Mus musculus: one gene and its partner. The protein of the gene in region 1 purifies or fractionates together with the protein of each later gene. This does not show direct contact. Links are inferred from orthologs where the notes say so. Each region holds a gene or a part of one and is shown in the gene's direction. Other genes may lie near its edges.

Region 1 (3,540 bases):
CCCAAGTCTTATCCCCAGGACCCACATAAAAAGCCAGATGTGGAACCCCAGCACTCTGATGCCAGCCCTCCAACAGTGAGATGGGAGGCTGAGGCAGAAGAGGTGGCCAGAAGCTCTCGGGCCAACTATCATGGTGTTAACTATGCAGTGGGAAAAACCAAGTGTCTGCCTCAACAACCGACTTCCAAAGGTTGTCTCCTAACCTCCGTGTGTACTCTATGGCTTATGCATGCCCCACACCCTGCAGCCTGCACATTTTTACAAAAGAAATCAGTAAGACTGGCCCACTCCAAACTAGAATCCCAACAGGGCACAGTGTGATGTGAGGTCTCCTCGCCAGGCCAGTGAGCTAAGTGTCCCCAGCATTCTCCTGGGCTCTGATCTCAAAGCTACCGATCTCCCTTTCCTTATGTACCAAATCCAGGTACACACTTTGTCCGCACCCCCTCCCCCTTAGAACTTGTTTCAGAGAGCAGCCACGTTGGTGTCTGCACACAGCATCCCTTCAGAGAGCCTGTCCTGAGCGTCCTGCCATGGAACAGGTACTTAGTGTTCCCTAAGGGAATCAACTGGTAATACTGGTCAAAATGGATCATGTCAAGAGGGAAGTTTGGATTCCTTAGAAAGAATGGAAAGAAGTCAGCAAAGCACCAGCGCAGAAAGTTTGAGTCAGAGCTGGTGGAGACAACTAGTCATCGTGTGCAGACAGCAAGGAGTCAGGCTGGCAGGGTGTGTAAAAGTTGTCACAGTGGTCCCACAGGCACATGCTCAGTGCACACAGGAAGGGCAGCAGAGGTGAGCACGGGTGTCCTGTCCCACTGATACCTTCCCAGAGTCAGCCTCAGCCTGCTCCTCCTCAGCAAACTCACCCCTCAGAATGGACAGCTTCAGGCAGCAGGTGTGGTAAGTGTATCTGCTCTGTTTCAGTGCCGGGGCAGGACGGACAGGAACCTTCTGTGCCTTGAGCACAGTCCTGGAACGTGTGAAAGCAGAAGGAATTTTAGATGTCTTCCAAACTGTCAAGAGCCTGCGGCTGCAGAGGCCACACATGGTCCAGACACTGGTAAGCTTCCATGTCTTTACCTGTGTCGGTACACTATCCGTAGCTCTTCCCTGTCAGGAGCAAGCCTTCAGGGAGCTCCGCAGACTCAAAAGACAGGGAGTGTCTTGGGAAGCAGGGCCAGAGTGGGAACACAGCAGAAGAATAACCAGAAGAAATAGAAGAGATTAGAAGGAAGTCCCTGGGAGCTGGGAGATAGTTCAGTGGGTAACAGGACTTGCTTTGAAAGCACAAAAAATTTGAGTTCAGACCCCCCCCCAATACCTATATACAAAACTAGATGGGGTGTATGCACCTGTAACCCCAATATTGAGGGCACAGCAGATCCCAAGAGCTCACTGAACAAGCCAGTCTAGCTGAAACAGCCATCTTCTGGTTCAGTAAGAAACCCTCTCTCCAGGGAATGGATAGAGAGCAATTGAAGACTTCCTACGTATCCAAATATCACCCACATACGTCACACACATACACTCTACTTTGAGTTCTGGTAAGGAGTGAACAGAAGTGCCTACCTTAATTTTGCTTGGCTTTCCTGTTCAGAAGTCTGACTCTTGACAGTCTCTGTATCCACAAAGGTTTTCCCGAATCTTGTTAAGTTAGAAAGGTTTGAGGGGAAATGTTAGTTTTAGGAGATTTGAGAGGAGATAAAGCTTTGGATGTTAGGATTCATGTCAGCCTAGCAGCCTGGGCAAGCTGAGTACCACCCTAGATGCCATGTGTTCAGCCTGGCACACCTACATCTGACCTGCAGGACCTTGGACTGCCCTCACATGTCTGGTCAGCCCTGCCTGTAGAAGATCTACTATAGTCCAAAAACATCCTTTTTCCTCCCCATTTTCCACTTTAAAAACTGGGTCTGCTAAGCCAGCATGGTGGTGCACACCTTTATTCCCAGCACTCAGGAGGCTGAAGTAGGCAGGTCTAAGAGAGTTCTAAGATAGCCTGGTCTATATAGGGAGTTCCAGGCCAGCCAAGGATACAGAGTGACATGTCTTTTAGAAAGGGGGCAGGGGCTTCAGCAATCCTCTGTTAACTGGTTTTTCCTGCCTCTGCCTGTGTTCCAGGAACAGTATGAATTCTGCTACAAGGTGGTACAGGAGTACATTGACGCCTTTTCAGATTATGCCAACTTCAAGTGACAGGTGACAAGGCCCACAGACAGGAGAATTGCCTTTAATATTTTGTAATATTCTGTTTTTGTTAATATACCCAAAATTGTATATATCTTATAACTGTTTTAGAAATGGCACATAGGCTTCTATTACCTGTTAGGTGGAGATTTTGTATGTAAATGTGTTAGCACTGATAGTCCTTTTCCAGTGTTTTATTGGGAAATTAAATAGTGTGATATTTGGGTTGATATAATGAAATCCTCAGCCTGGAAACTGGGCCAGATTGTTCCTTGCTTCAAATATCTTTTCCTAAAGAAGATAAACCTAAGACTCATTCCAGGTAGCTCAGTGCCAACTAAAACAAAGCACAAAGTTCTCAGAGCTCTTGAGGAAATGGTTGTCTCCCTGTCCCCAGGCAGGCCTCTTCCCCTCCCTGTCCTGTAAATATCCCTCCCCTCTCCAGTCCACCCTCATCTCCCACCAAGATCAGCCACCTCAGGCATGGGGAGTAATGAGACCAGAGCGCCTCTCTGGCACCACAGCAGGGATCGTCAGGTAATAAACACTCTTGATTCCCTGAGGAAATATCGGTCCCTTTGTCTTGGGCAGAGCAGTCTTATGAAGCTGGGGCTCTCCTGGGTTGTTCCTAGCCCTGCTGTTGGCTGGTGTCTTCCAGGTCCTCTTTTCTATCAAGTATAATTATCCCAGCCACCCACCCAGCTTTGCTCCCTGGGACAGACAGCAAGGGTCTCACTGAGTTTCTCTACAGAAAGAGACACCAGGGACAGAGGAGCTGCTGCAGGCTTGAGCTGAGGCCATTTTGGCCTCTCTAGTTTCTGTCCAGAATAAGTTTTAAATGTTCTTCCGGAGTTGTATTTATTTATGGGTGTTACGTGTGGGCACACACATGCCACAGCACACTACTGTTCGAGAGTTAGGGCTCTCCTTTCGGCTTGTTTTTGAGGCACAGTATATTAATCTCTGTTCTGTTGCTGTGATAAAGTACCTTGACCAGGGCAACTCATAGAAGAAAGTAAATCTGAGACTCAGGGTTTCAGAGGGTGGGTCTGTGACCACCATGGTGGAGCATGGCAGCAGGCAGGCAGTCATGGTGCTGAAGCAGTACCTTAGAGCTTACAGACAGAGCCTGGGAAGGACGTGGGCTTTAGAACCTTCAGAGCTCAGCCCCAGTGATACACTTCCTCCAGTACCTGGAGACCAAATATTCAAATATATGACCCTATGAGGGCTATTCTCTCTCTCTCTCTCTCTCTCTCTCTCTCTCTCTCAGGTTTGGGTGTCCTGTTATTTCTACTGCAGTGCTGTTTAAGATTTGGGATTCTCTACCATCTTTAATAGGAGTACTGG
Region 2 (3,517 bases), about 27 Mb from region 1:
GTGCACATGATACATAGAGCCGTACACACAGGGCAGGGAAGCCAGCTTGCTGTGGGACCCTGCCTGAGCCCCATTCCCTGCCTCCATCTCCAGAACATGCTGATGGCCTGTGTCACCGCCTCACTACCGTATGTCCCACATCCAAGCCTCAGACCCAGGGATTGGCCAAGGATGCGTGGGAGATCCCCCGGGAGTCCCTGCGGCTGGAGGTCAAGCTGGGCCAGGGTTGCTTCGGAGAGGTGTGGATGGGTAAGGAACACACGCCCCTGTCCCCATCCCAGCTCAAAGACCCTGAGTCCCTCTCTTTAATTGTCTCTACTGAACAACTGGGCTGTTTTTCATTTTATTGTTGAACATTAACTGTACAAATTGTTACACTTGTTACAATTGTTTTCCTGTGACACTTTGAACCCCGCATGTAACATACTTGGCTCACTTCCAGTCCCTCACCCCACTCCCTGCCCCCCACCCCACGCTATGACTCACCAGGGTCAGCACTGAGGTGGGCTCCTGACTCCTTGTAACCCATGCTGCTGAAGATGAAGACTAGGGCATCTGTGTACCAGCCGCACCTGGGGACTGGGCACCACGGTCCTCAAGGGCCTGAGTGAGTGTGGTCAGGTCTCACGCCAAGCCTCAGCCTCCCGATGTGAAGAAGGGGCTGATGCCAAGCTTCAAGGGGCATCTGCATATTAGTTCAGCACAGAAAGAGACAGCGCTGTGCCGTGCGGAGGGAGTGGTGGGAAGTCAGTGTTCGGTTTCCTGTCTAATTGTGCAGCCATCGAGAGGCTCCTGGAGCATCGAGCTGCCTTAGCCAAACCCAGGCTCCCTGCTATGGCTGCTTCTACCCGGGTACCCACGAGTAGAGGGGGACTATGGGGCTGTAGTGGCTGTTGCCGTTTCACCATCTTCCTTTCAGAGGGCACTGGAGGGGCCGGGTCAGGTAGGCAAGGGAAGTCTTGGGTTGTGAGGAGGAAGGTCAGAGGGAGAAGCCAGCTTTTAAGGTGAGACCAAAAGGAGGGTTTGGGTAGAGCCTGAGTGAGCCACGGCCTTGGTCTTTCTCAACCTCATCTATGATTCTTGGTGTGTGGTGGGAATCTGAGGGCTTCCCACCTTTCCCTGGAGCTCTGCGCAGACCAGCAACCACCGGGAATCAGGGCATCCGGCCTGACCCGACACAGCTAGAGAGCTGACCCAGTCTACCCTCTGACCTGTCTCTGTGACAGGGAGGTCTCCCTGCCTAATGCAGCACAGGCACTGAGCTGACCTCTTGCCCCCAGTGACCCCAGACACAGCCCTCTCCCTCCTCTGACCCGTGCTGTGGTTGCTGGTGCCTCGGGTACTGACTACCCACCCATCAGGCTGCTGTTCGGCTTCCTGTCCTGTCCTAAGCAGTCAACATCCTAGTAGCAGTCACATTGTGAGCAGGCTCCAGACACACAGTTCACAGCCCTGGGAGGGGTCTCCATTCCCTGAGCCTATTTAATAAGTGTGAATGGAGAGTCTCAGCGTGGTATCTGGCCTTGCCCAAAGCCCATGCCCTGAGTTCAGAGGCAGAGATTGAGACAGGCACTTGTGTGGACTCGCCTGGGTGGCCCCAGTGCAGCAGAATGATAGCCTGTGCTCATGTTCCCACGTCTCTCCCCGACAGGGACCTGGAACGGCACCACGAGGGTTGCCATCAAAACTCTGAAGCCAGGCACCATGTCCCCAGAGGCCTTCCTGCAGGAGGCCCAAGTCATGAAGAAACTGAGGCACGAGAAACTGGTGCAGCTGTATGCTGTGGTGTCGGAAGAACCCATTTACATTGTGACAGAGTACATGAACAAGGGTAAGGTCTGAGCCCGGGGTGACCTTTTCAGGTGCCCACGCAGGGCGGGCCAAGGGCAACTTACTCCTTACCCCAGACCACCCCAATGAGTGTACGCTACATCAGGGACTGACTGCCTCTCTCCTTTTGTAAATAATAACAAATCTAGTGGGTTTTTTTCTAAAAGACGGCTTCTTTTGTCCTTTCCCACTGTCACGATCCCTGTTGTTGCTGGTTTGGTGGCACACACCTGTAATCTCAGTGCCCGGGGGTTGAAGCAGGAGATCGTGAGTTTGAGGCCAGGCTGGGTACATAGCAGGACTGTCTCTGTCTTGGTAAGCAGCAGTGTGGGGCTGAGGTTGTAGCTGGGTTGGTAGAGTGCTTTCCTAGCTTGCACAAGGCCCTGGGTTTGGTCTTAGGTTTGATCCCCAGTACTGCAAGAATTAGGCACACACCTGCAATCCCGGCACCGGGGAGATAGAGGTAGGAGGGTCAGGAGTTCAAGGTCAGCCTATAGAGTTGGGTTGCTTGAGACCCTGTCTCAAAACAAAAATATATGTACAGCATCCACATTACCTACCCCAGAGTTCCCTGCTGTCCTTAGTGCTGTGACTCTCCATCCAGCTTCAGCCTCAGGCAGCCACTGGCTAGCCGGGTTTGGTCCTGATAAACCTGTTTGTCTTGGGCTTTGCACATGATCTTTTGCATCTTATAACCCCCTGTTGTGTCTGCCTGACCTCCTCCCTACCCCACTTACTCCAAGGGCCCAGTAGCATTCCTTGATCTAGCTCCCTGGAGTCTTGGCCTTTGAGCAGCCCTGGCCAGGGTCTGGAAGCCACAGTTTCCTGCACAGGGAGACCCAGGCAAGGCTAGAGCTGGATCTCTCTCTCCAGGGAGTCTGCTGGACTTTCTCAAGGGGGAAACGGGCAAATATTTGCGGCTACCCCAGCTGGTGGACATGTCTGCTCAGGTGAGTCTCCTCTTCCACCTTCCTACACCTTTGGCTCTCGGGCTCAGTGCGCCCCCTTCAGGATGCCTGCTTTCATTACACCAGACTCTCACCTGGCAGGCGCCTGGGGTGGTACGCCACATCTGGGAATCAGAGGCACATACACATAATTAAGAATAAAAATAAAATATTAAAAGTTTAAAATTTATTACTTCCATTTGCTAGATGAGGAAACCGAGGGACAGAGAGGGGTCTTGGGACAACAGGCAGGACCTGGCACGCATCTGTGTCTATGGGTCATCTGGGGCCTCTTTTGTATATACTCGCCTGCCCGCCTGGCTGTGTCTTATTGTGACCTCCCATTGCCCTTTGCTGTCCCCTCTCCCCCTGAGCTTTGGTCTACCTTTTCAAGCCAGTGCTGTTTATTATAAGCTGAATGAAGTTCCTTGCTTGAAAAGACACGAGGTGGGCAGGGTGTTTGGGCATCCTTCTATCCTTCTATCAGGAATAACCAGCCCGAGACACCGGCTTACAGCACTGGGACGGGTGTGGGTTAGCCCCTGAGCCAGGCTCTCTGTCTCCACAGATCGCTTCAGGCATGGCCTATGTGGAGCGGATGAACTATGTGCACCGGGACCTTCGAGCCGCCAATATCCTAGTAGGGGAGAACCTGGTGTGCAAAGTGGCCGACTTTGGGTTGGCCCGGCTCATAGAAGACAACGAATACACAGCCCGGCAAGGTGGGGGTGCCTGGGGGT

What was found. Proteins that work in one complex are often made in the same cells at the same time.
Region 2: the proteins of Ptpra (region 1) and Src purify together in Homo sapiens (co-immunoprecipitation; 4 studies listed by BioGRID and IntAct, with this or other methods). This does not show direct contact. The link is inferred for Mus musculus from reciprocal best matches to the Homo sapiens genes PTPRA and SRC.

The regions. Positions count from the first base shown.
Region 1 is NC_000068.7:130,551,270-130,554,809, forward strand, and holds the end of Ptpra (receptor-type tyrosine-protein phosphatase alpha isoform 2 precursor), read left to right. Parts: intron 1-869; exon of another isoform or gene 870-927; coding exon 928-1,063; intron 1,064-1,083; exon of another isoform or gene 1,084-1,166; intron 1,167-1,572; exon of another isoform or gene 1,573-1,647; intron 1,648-2,124; coding exon 2,125-2,199; 3' UTR 2,200-3,031; downstream 3,032-3,540. UniProt on the Homo sapiens protein: Tyrosine protein phosphatase which is involved in integrin-mediated focal adhesion formation.
Region 2 is NC_000068.7:157,465,780-157,469,296, forward strand, and holds part of Src (neuronal proto-oncogene tyrosine-protein kinase Src), read left to right. Parts: intron 1-93; coding exon 94-249; intron 250-1,651; coding exon 1,652-1,831; intron 1,832-2,703; coding exon 2,704-2,780; intron 2,781-3,345; coding exon 3,346-3,499; intron 3,500-3,517. UniProt on the Homo sapiens protein: Non-receptor protein tyrosine kinase which is activated following engagement of many different classes of cellular receptors including immune response receptors, integrins and other adhesion receptors, receptor protein tyrosine kinases, G protein-coupled receptors as well as cytokine receptors.